Linked DNA regions of Drosophila melanogaster. The protein of the gene in region 2 interacts with the protein of the main gene of each other region in a pairwise test. Each region holds a gene or a part of one and is shown on either strand. Other genes may lie near its edges.

Evidence for each region.
Region 1: the proteins of Tsp33B (region 2) and heix interact in a two-hybrid assay, tested with the Drosophila melanogaster proteins (one large-scale study listed by BioGRID).
Region 3: the proteins of Tsp33B (region 2) and Tsp86D interact in a two-hybrid assay, tested with the Drosophila melanogaster proteins (one large-scale study listed by BioGRID).

The regions. Positions count from the first base shown.
Region 1 is NT_033779.5:16,298,223-16,301,977, reverse strand, and holds the start of heix (heixuedian), read left to right. Parts: upstream 1-2,119; 5' UTR 2,120-2,665; coding exon 2,666-3,106; intron 3,107-3,755. Other genes in the region: CG17328 (uncharacterized protein), read right to left, coding at 370-1,485, 1,542-1,667. UniProt on the Drosophila melanogaster protein: Prenyltransferase that mediates the formation of menaquinone-4 (MK-4), a vitamin K2 isoform, thereby acting as a mitochondrial electron carrier.
Region 2 is NT_033779.5:11,790,690-11,794,444, reverse strand, and holds Tsp33B (tetraspanin 33B), read left to right. Parts: upstream 1-2,079; 5' UTR 2,080-2,141; coding exon 2,142-2,894; intron 2,895-3,069; coding exon 3,070-3,177; intron 3,178-3,232; coding exon 3,233-3,352; 3' UTR 3,353-3,420; downstream 3,421-3,755. Other genes in the region: CG14937 (uncharacterized protein), read left to right, coding at 398-419, 499-1,814; CG14932 (uncharacterized protein), read right to left, coding at 3,509-3,755.
Region 3 is NT_033777.3:10,866,874-10,870,628, forward strand, and holds Tsp86D (tetraspanin 86D), read left to right. Parts: upstream 1-1,834; 5' UTR 1,835-2,159; coding exon 2,160-2,712; intron 2,713-2,769; coding exon 2,770-3,092; coding exon of another isoform or gene 3,093-3,167; 3' UTR 3,168-3,682; downstream 3,683-3,755. Other genes in the region: SelR (selenoprotein R), read right to left, coding at 1-103, 1,099-1,168.

The DNA.
Region 1 (3,755 bases), 4.5 Mb from region 2:
TCAAACTGGATTAAGCCGATACCAACGATGCATACCAATACCAAACAAACCAATATTGAGATACTACAATTTTTACCTACAGAAAACACAAATCAAGCTTAGTTTATACAACAATGACATTTTTATATCGACGACAAGTATGCGACAAGTACGCGCGGGGAGTTTTTAGTGATTTTAGTTCTTGCATTTAAGTAATAATCTTAATAGAAGCTGTGCTTGCCAAATTTCTACATGTATTTATTGTAAAGATATAAAAGCAAACATGACAAAATATTCCATTTTATATAGACAAACTAAATAAAAGTGTTCAATATCAAAACATAATCTAAAACAATAATTATGATTAAGATAAATCTTCGTAGCTATACTCTAATAATGTAGTCTTTGTGCCGCCGTGTGGTGCAGCATAGTGTAACGTCCTTCACTTGGCGTTGGCGGTGGAGGCGGCGGCGGTGCCAACATGTGAGCCATTGCAGCCATTCCCATTTGTGTGGCGGGATTCGGTGGGCCGAGATGATGCAGTGCATCGTGATGGTAGTGATGCGACATAGGTGGTGCAGGAGGCAACGGCAAATTCAGTAGATTATTATTCGCCGCATGCGTGCGAAAATGTAGACTTAGGCTGTCCGCCGTATCAAATGCCTTGTCGCAATCCGGACACTTGAAGTGGGCGTGATCGAGGGTGTCCAGACCCACGGGATCCGTGTCTATAGCCTCATCATCATCATCATCCACTATATCATGGTTTGTACTGGACTCCAGAGGATGAAGCTTCAATTTATGAGTCCGCATATCTCTTCGCCTGCTGAAAGCCTTGCCGCAGACATCGCAGTGATGGTTTTTGATGCCCGTATGGGTTATCATGTGCTTGGAGAGATCACCGGCGGTGTAGAAACCTTTCTGACATAGCGAGCATACCTGATCCCGCACTCCTAAATGAATCTTCTGGTGCGCCTGGAAATTGCCTAACGCGGAAAACTGCTTTGAGCAGATCTCACACTGAAAAGGCTTGTCGCCCGTGTGCGTTCTTTCGTGGACTTTAAGATTGTACTTTTGGGCGAATCTCTGGATACAAAAGCTGCATTGGTAGGGTTTCTCGCCAGTATGTGTTCTTATATGCTGTGTTAATTGGGCAATGCATTTGAAGCTTTTGTGGCACTCGTAGCAGGTGTGGGGCATCTTTGGCACAGGTTTGGGCCCCCGTTTTTTGTGCTCTTCTGGCGGCTTTCTTTGATAGCGCGACCGCCTCTTGCTCACTTTGGCATCCACGGGTTCCTCTTCATCGCTATCGCGCTGCGGAAGCAACGGCTTCTCCACAAAGTCCGTATTGGTGGCCGCATCCTGGCGCCAGGATTCCAGAATGCCCAGATATTGTCGCAGTCGGAGATCACTGTTTTCGCATTCCTGCTTGAAGTGGAAGGCCACCCCCAGCCGGTAAATACAGTTGTTGCAGATCACCGAAGGTAGGCCATCGGTTTTAAAAACCTAAAACAATTTCCATATGCCAATTAACATTGAAATATTTTGTTTTTAGAACCCACTCTTATTTTAGCGCATTGCATCAACATTACGGAGGGCATCATAGCAAAGTCTGTACTATATATCGAAGTTACAGGATGTAGTTCCTCCAGGCAAACTCTGCATATTTTGTGGATATTATAGTCCATGTTTTATTTCAATTTTATAGAAATCAACAAAAAAATTATTGAAAATTTTGCTCTAAACTCCTATCAGCTGATTGGGACCAGGGCTGCAACGGTACAGTCGTAACTCTAGCTTGTGAAACAAATCTATCATATATGATTAAATTTGTTTCGCGTGTTTAAAATGAATTTCATACTCAATGTGGATTCATTTCCGCAAATATGCAAAAGATATAGTAATATTTTGGTGAGCTACTTCAACTACTAATTACGTTGATAAGTGTTGATAACAATGATTACATAAATATTTAAAACCCACCTTTGTTTTACGAATTATATAAAAAATGCACATACATGTACCGCTAAATATTTATTGCATATTATCTGAATTATTTTCATTTATGAAATTTGGGTAAAAACTGTAGGAATAGGCAGGGCTGCACATGCGATACGGCGTTGCCACCTTCAACGAAAAAGTGTAACCTTTTTTCGTTTTTGCGCTGACGTGACGTGACAGTTGATTTGTTTGATTAAAATAACTAAGAGTAAAATCGCAGCCAAATCGATTTGCGCCACTAACCCGGAATCGATAGCCGGAAGCAAAGACGCAGCCGGAAAAGGAGAGGCATATAAGAAGAACGATCCTCGCACCGGTCGAGGAAAAGAGAGAGAGAGAGAGGGGCAGCGAGAGAGAGAGAGCGTGAGAAACTGGGAGCTGCACGGGTGAAATTTCGTGGTTTCGGGACCCCGACCACCTGAGCTCTCCACCCCCCGCTGATAATATACATATCCCCGCATATATTCCCCACTTTCAAGATGCTGTGTATACAATATTAGCGATTATCGAGACCAGGCAGCGCATGTGCCGGCATCCAAAAAGGCACAAATTGAATACTTTAACTATTGTAAACAAATTCTGGAGAGGAGGTGACCAAGGTCAAACAATCCGACGAATACGAATACCTGGCGGCTAGTCTCGTTTCACTCCACCGCAAAGTGCCAGTTAACCAGTGCCGCTTGCCATGGCCACAAGCAGCCAGCTGTTGCCCAATGGCAACTTGTCCAGGAATGGCAAGACCAAGACAGAGGACGGTGAGGAGGTGGAAGCCGTTGTTGGAGCTCGTGCAGCAGGTGCAGATGCCGGAGTAGCACTAACGGGACGACTAACAGGACACCCATCCACATCCGGAACGTTTATGAAACTGAAAACCTATCTCCTAGCTCTGCGTCCCTGGTCGCTGTCCGCCAGTCTGGTTCCAACGCTGCTCGGCTCAGCCCTGGCCTACCGCTCCCAGTGGGCGGAGGAGTTTTCGCTGGCCACCTTCTTTCTCACCGCCTTCACCGTGGTCACCGTCCACTGCGCCGGCAACGTAGTTAACACCTATTTCGACTTCATCAAGGGCATTGACAAGCAGAAAGCCGACGACCGCACGCTGGTGGATCACATACTCACCAAGGATGAGGTGAGCAATCGAACGGATGGATCAATCAAGCCAATAGAGTGCAGATCCGTCCATAGAGCATAGAGCCTACTCTTATCCTTCGGAAAGTAAAACTTCAAAAAAGTAAAATTCAAACATTTTTCGATTTTTCTGACGTGTTCACCAAAATTCCACATTTGCAAATACAGTATTCCGAAAAATCAAATTATATGCAAAGAAACTCGCGAGCACTTCTAAATCTTTAATGGCAAAACGTGATATTTAAATTCAAATTTGTCAGTGGCGAAGCAAAGATTCTCAAATTTTCTTTTTAAATTAACAAAAACAATTTTAAACACCTAAAATATTTGAAAATGCATTCAGTGTATGTGTGTACATTTCAGATGAACAGAAATTAAATTAGTTTTATATACGTTCAGAAAAAAACGTGCCGAAATCATAAACCATTTTGGAAGCGAAAACAATATCAAGAATTGGTAGCAATTAGCAAGGTACTAATTCAAATCAAGGGCAAATATATTAGAGAGTATTCAAACAATAATACTTTTAAATTTATAATTTTATCGAATTTCTATAGGACAATTTTTTCCGTTTTATAATGGAATTTAATTGGAATATGCATAAATTAATTATGACAGCATGACAGCAGATTTAATCCTTATCCGCAATT
Region 2 (3,755 bases):
TATATATATATATAGTATATATTGTACAAGTTACGAGTAAAATGTAATTAAAATTTATGAAGTAGTAAGCACTAAACAAAACAAATAAATGAGCAGCAAAAACGCGCAGCATAAGCATAAAACCGGATTTTACAAGAAACTGAGTAACCCTGAGTAGAATTATATTTTTTGGTTAAGGATATTATTATGATTTCGTATCTCTGGGATACCCCGAAAACTATCGCTTCGTTTTCCCATCTCCAAAAGGATAAGTCGTTTAGGTAGCGCGAATTCCGCCCGATCTGCCTGGAAACCCACCCCTAAATGACCTTCGCACTAGGTAGCATCGGACTACTGACCGTGGCAACTGCGTGAATTCATTAGTATTCCAAGTACCACGATCGAGAACAGACCGCAGATGACGTCCGCAAGCGATACAGGTAAGGAATTGGCTAAAAACGAAAAAAAAAAAAACAATACAACTGAGCCTATTAAGACGATCGTCCTTCAACTTTTTAGAACCCACTGCAGTAACGCTGCTCCAGCTGAATGACGATGTCCTGGCTTTGATCATCCGCCAGCTGGACACGTACCAGCAGTTCCAGATTAGCAGGTTGAACAGGCGCTTGGCGGGCGTAGTGCACATGCTCTGGGAGACCCGTGTTCGCAACGTTGTCCTGCAGGACGAGATGTTCGGACGCTCGGGAGCCAATTCCCGACAGTTTGTGGCTTTCATCTTGGCCCTGGCTCCGCACATGCAGCACCTGAGTTGCAAGCAGTTGGATGTCCGAAGACTGCGACTGCTCAGTAACCACACGCTGGAGAGGATTCACTCTTTCGAGTGGCTGGGCAATGTGTATAGACGGAGACGCGTTCGCTTCGTGGATGAGGATGTGCGAATGCTGCAGAGGGTATTTCCCAATCTAAAAAGCCTCAAACTTAGAGGCTGCCAAATTACCGGAAAATACCTATGCGACCTGGATGAGCTTACCGATCTCCGCCTGCATGATTGCCATTTTCTGGAATCGCAACACTTTAGGGACATCTTCCGGCAGCTGCGACTACGCAAATTTGACATAATGGAGGACTGTGACGAGGTGAACTGCTGTGATCTGGCGGATCTGCAGCTGTGTCCCACACTGGAGCATATCAAGATTGCGGATTACCACGTGTGTATGGAGTCGGATATTACGCAGCAACTACTGACATTGCCAAACCTGCGAAAGCTGTCGATCTATTCCAGGAACTTTGTCTTTGATGTCCTATCGAGGATAGTTAGTCCCACAAGTCCTCCCGGCGATGGCCGACAAATTGAGGCCTTTAGTTTCAGTGGAGTTTTGCACGACTATGGCCGGTTCTTCAGGGAGCTGGGAAATCTTAGTCACTTGACGCGACTGGAGCTGCACAGCCAGCCAGAGGAAGAGGAGGAGAAGGAGGAGGGCGTCCAGGTGCAGTGCCTGGGGGATCAGATACTGCGGCAGCTAGCCAGTCAACTGGGTGAGCTAACCGAACTCCATTTGTGTGGCTATCAGTTGGAGAGTCCTTTGGGCCTGCTGGAATTCGTGATCAATTGTCGACAGCTGAGAGTCCTCGACATCACTCGAACCTTCTGCCATGGAGAATCCTTCGTCTGGAGGTGTATTGCCATTTTGGCCAAGCAAAGCTGGCGCATTCGCCCTCTAGAGCTGTGGATCCGGCATAGCGATATCAATCCGGAAATAGTTCAAAGTTCGCGCTGCGTTGATAACATAAGGCTGATAAAGGTGGATGCAAAACAGATTGGACCCAATACGGACTACACATCTGGCGTACTCAAGTTTAGCTTTGTGCGGTAAACCGCTGCCCCATGAGTGGGATATGCTCCAACTGATCAAGCTCCAAAATGAAAAGGTTTTAAACTGAAATATAGTTAAGTGTATACATTTATCAACTGCTTACCAAATAAAAAGATGTAAATATACATATTTGTAAAGCGATTTTTCAATGCATCATTGTTTTTACTGCCCTTAGGGATAAAAAAAATTAAATTCAAGTTGTAGTACACTTTAAAATTCAAACACCCAAGTCCTTGCAATCAGCGTCAATCCAAATGAAATTCGAGTTCAGAGCTAAAACCTCGTCGACAAGCCAAACTTTGGATCGATGCCCACGAGGATGACCAAATGCGCCAGCCCTTCCGCCGAGCCTCCGTCTACCTCCACCTGCTGTTAATAACCGAGGCCGTGATCGGACTGCTGATCCTGGTGGTGACCGCCTACTACCACACCGTGCTCACCGGCTATCTATCGGATATTGAGTGCCGCCTGGTCTACGGCTATCTGTTTGGGATCTACGTGTTTGGCGCCCAGGTGGTGGTGACCTTTCTCTGCAGCATTGCCATGTGGCGGCGAATTTGGCGGCGTCGCTGCACGCCGAACATTCGCCTCTTGCTATCCGTGTGGGCCTTCTACTCCTGCGTAATCATTGCCTCCGGTTTCGGGTGCGTTTGGAATCTTTACCGGGGTGTCGATGTCCTCGAGAATGCGGCGGACACCTCGCTGACCCGCGGCATCGACATGTACTACTCGTGTCCCGAGTGGAAACTCCTGTGGGACGGACTGCAGTGGCACAAGGAGTGCTGCGGGGTGCATGGCTACAAGGACTGGATGAACGCGGAGTGGATGCCACGGCGGGAGAATAACTGCACGTCGATGGTCCTGGCACCCTTCGCCTGCTGCAAGCGCTCCTGCGACAGCTGCTTTAACAATTTCCTGCCCAGTGAGGGGCAGTCCATCGGTGGCAATAGCCGGCAGCCTTTTCCCGCTCTCACCGTGGACTCAATCAATGCGAACGGATGCTTGCCTGCGTTCGTTAGTGCGGTGTGGAACTGCTTTTACATCCTGATGGCGTTATGGGTCCTGGCCCTTAAGTTTCTGGTAAGTAATTGGTAATGGGCAACGTTTTAAAGTCAGAACAATGGTGAATATTGGAGCCATATTCATTAAATTCTGTCAAATTCATTAGCGTAAGTCATATTGAAATCAAAAAATTTGAATATGCAACAAAATTGTATTTTAAGATAAGACCTCCCTAAGTCAATCATCTTTTTAGATCGTGCTTTGTTGTATGACCAAGTTCATAGTTCACCGGCAGAACGAGGGCGATGGCTGCGATAATGTGGGACTCACGGACGATGATGGACATCCCTTGGTCGTGGTGGTGGGTTTATCCATTTACTATCCATCGATAGCACCTAAATCAGTCCATTCCCCAGAAATATCCGTGTAACGTGCGCTGTGTAACAATTGCCGAGGATGATCTGGTATCCGACAACGTTCCCGATATTAACTACTGCAATTGCACCGAAATGGACGACGAACCGTGTGGATACTAATATTGTGCTTAATTTTACTTTTATATTTTATATTAATTTAATTAAATTTACGAATTTGAGTTAACTTCATATCCAATCGGTGAACGCAATATATTATTTATTGGATATTATAGGATACTTATTACATGGATGTTGTAACATTGGATGTTAAATGGATTAACGGCGCATCCTCTTGGATTTCTTCAAAGTCTGACCCACCAGTTGAGCAATATGTTTGCGCAATGCCAAGAAAGGCTTCAAGCAGACGCGCTGCTCGACGAGACCCACAGCAATGCGGTGAAAGAACTCGGTGACATCCACGGGCTTGGCCAGCAGCTGACCTTGTGATACCGAGCCGTTTTCCTCTGAGGCCTCGGGCGTAGGGCTACGTGCCATTCTACGGATGAATGGTTCCAAGTTGCCC
Region 3 (3,755 bases), on a different chromosome or scaffold from region 2:
CGCAGCTCCTCCTTGTTCACCGTAACCTTCTCGCTCTTGTTATCCATAGTCGCTGCTGGTCCGGAATACCTTTTGTCCGGATTGTCGCTGTCTTGGCGTGAATCTGGAATGCAATACAATACTTTGGTATTTGATTTGCGGTCGGGTCGGTTTGAGTGTGCTTTTCGGTTCGCCAGCAGTTGGGTAATGGAAACTGAGTAGGGGATTTCGTCAAGCTTCTGTAAGATTTCCCTCATAATCTGCCCACTTATCGGTGGGACTTTCAACGAAACCTTGGGCAATCTCAACTCGCTTATTTGAATGCGGCCATCTGACGATAAGAAGCTTACTACTATCAGCCATGAGTTGCTGAAAATACTTTCTCGAAACTCATAATCATCTTGTTTTCTCATACAAACGATACCATACCATTTATGAAAATGAATTATATGAAGAAAATTTTTGGCATTTTTGGAACCCAATTTGATAAGGAAATATATACATAAATATTCTTATTCCAATATTAAACAAAAGCTATATATAGCGTACAAAATATAGAAAATACTTATCATTTTCTTAAACAATTTGTTAACAATCTTGAAAACTCAAAATCAAAGTTGTGCATCCAGGGAATTAGTAACACCAATTTTGTATACAAACTTGCCTGCTAATTAATGAAGGTGTAAACAGATTTGTTAAGTGCGGCCAACAAATGGAGTGGAGAAACGCATTGGGCCAAAAATAGTTTTATGGCTTTTTATGCTGCTTGCCCGCCGTCAATCAAACGGAGTGGCGCCCAAAGCAAACGAAGGCGAAGGAAAAGCCGAAAAAAAAACCGAAAATCGAATAGCGTAGGTGGAGCAGTCACCTTTTATTTTCGGTTTTTCCGAGTGCAACAATAGAAAAGCCAGCCAAGTGTGTCGCGGGCAATTGAAGACAATGAATTCATTGCGAGCAAAGTCAGAAAATAGCGGCTAAATTGCGTTCATATAGAATGCAAATGTATAAAAAAATCAACTCAAATTGTGTCTAAAATTAGCCGATGGCCAATCGATGAGCATGGGCTGACACGCCCACAGGTATTACAAACTATACCTGCGACTTTTTAGTGCAACTCACCTGCGAAAAAGCGTGGAATGGCGAATATTCGAGTGCGCCGCAGTGCGTGGCGAGCAGAAAGTGCAAACATTATGTGGCTAATTTCAGGTGACAACTGCACTTGGCACTGCCTGGTTATTTAATCAGCACAGCAACAGGGGGAAAATGAGCAGAGCAAGGAGGAAAAGTCAATGTTTTGTCCACTGCGCACTGCCCACGCGTACTAACTAATATTTATGCAATTCGCGTTGCCACTTCCGTCTACCACATTTCCCACATTTTCCGTTCTATTTTCGTGCGCTTTTCTGCTTTTGAACGCTTGGCGAGGAGAAAGCGCAGTGCAGAGAAAGTCGCAACTCAATTAGGGAAAATGCGCTCGCAATTGTGCTTCAATGTCACCAGCGGAGAACCGAAAAGAAAAAACACTTAATTTTCCCACACTTAAATGGTGCGTCCTTGGGTTTTCTCTAAGCTGGAAAACTACTCACCTGCTGAATAGCGCTCTAAATGGTGCTGATTCTATTTTTGGCCTTTTGTTTATGAATGCGCCAAACGCGGGCGAAAACAAGCGTGCGTCGCAATGTTACGCAGCGGTGGAAAATTAAAAACTAATACAAAAAAAGCTGCTTGGGAAAACAGCTGCACGCGATGAAAATCAAACACCTGGCTGGCTCGCGTTGCCAATCGAATGCTGGATGATAGGCAACAAAGGCAGTACGGTCACGCGAACAGCTGACTGGCCGCGCTGCCAACTGCTGCCTAATTGGACAGCACGTCTGGCAACGCCGGGCACTTTGTTATTTTTAGTGGCTCCATAAATTTGCTTATCAGTCATAAAATTTAAGCTAGTGCGTTAATTCATCATATTCGCTGCGGGGAAACACCAGAGTTAGACAGTCCACCACTGACGCACTGCGAAACTATAGCAAAACAGCCGTGCAGGCCGCTGAAGAGACCACACGCAAAGAGGGCGTCAACAAAAAGAAAAAACCGTGGGGGAGGAAACCTGGGCAAAAATACCAGGAAAAGTAATACTCATCGAAATACTCGGCTGAAAACACGACTTGCACATTCGCGTGGCCATGAGCAATCACAGATACCATCAGGGGGGCAACTACATGCACCCGCGGATCTCCACCTATCCGCACCACTTCAGCTACGTTTCCTCTTGCGTCAAGTACATGATCTTCCTGCTAAACTTCCTCTTCTGGCTCTTCGGCGGCCTGCTCCTGGCCATCGGCGTGTACGCCTTCATGGACAAACTGATGGACGGCAATGGCTGGCTGCGCTTGGACACCATCTACGATGTGATCTTCAACATCTCCCTGGTGATGATCATCGCCGGAGTCATCGTCTTCACGGTCAGCTTCGCCGGCTGTTTGGGTGCGCTGCGCGAGAACACCTGGCTGCTAAAGCTGTACTCCATGTGCCTGCTTCTCTTCTTCATACTGGAGATGTCGCTGGCCATCATCTGCTTCGTTTTCCCGCAGTACATGAACTCGTTCCTCGAGTACCAGTTCACGGACAAAATCATCCACTCGTACCGTGACGACTCCGACTTGCAAAACTTCATCGACTTTGCCCAGCAGGAGTTTAACTGCTGCGGCCTGAGCAACGCCGGCTACCAGGATTGGAGTGAGTATTTGATTCATAAGCCACAAACGAATTAATTCCATGTCCGTATGCATACAGGCAAGAACGAGTACTTCAACTGCTCATCGCCGTCGGTGGAGAGATGTGGAGTGCCCTACAGCTGCTGTATTAATGCCACCGATATCAGCTCCGGCCTAGTGAACATCATGTGTGGCTATGGCGTGCAGGTGCGTTCAGTGGCCGCCGCCAGCAAGCGCATCTGGACCAGCGGCTGCATCGAGATCGTGCGAGTATGGGTCGAGAGGAATCTGTATGTGATTGCCGGCGTTGCCCTGGGCATAGCCTTGCTGCAGTTGTTCGTCATCTATTTGGCCAAGACCCTGGAGGGACAGATCGACCTGCAGAAGTCGCGCTGGTCGTGAGTGCAATGCCACCATCCGTATCTCTACGGATATCCGCCATGCGAAGACGACCCGTATTACAATTCGCGGATGTGAGGCGGACTTTTTTGGTCCTGCCCGTGCTCAAATAATTTCAAACCGAATCCCACTCCTAGAATAATCCATAGCTCCCTATATACCATCTCTTGTGTTTTCGATAGATTTAAGTTCTAATGTCCCGCGATAATAGTATTTCAATAGTATTCTCATACTCTCCTAGGCTTAGGAAAAAGTATTTATACTCCTTTGTGTTCGTTTGCTCTGTATGTTTTTTAAACGTCAGCGCATTCTTAGTCACAAGTAAAGTCGAACACATCTAAAGTTTTACTCTTATACGTATGCAATATCAGACTATTTAAAAGACACTTGTGTATAAGCTAGCGAGTTCCATAAGAAATATGCATTTAAAATGAGATTTATATGTAACGACGAAACCAAAACTGCATGCATGTTTGTTAAATTGAAAAACATACTAGATACATAGACTTATTATCATTTTTAAGTATCTGTACGCGTGTTTGTCTGCAAACGTTGTTGTAGTGCGTATTTAAATACAGGCATTCTATACGTGTAATCGTGACTTTTTCATATGGTGAAAACAGCACAAAGTACCTGTCTTATCGCTCCACTTGGTTATTCCAATCT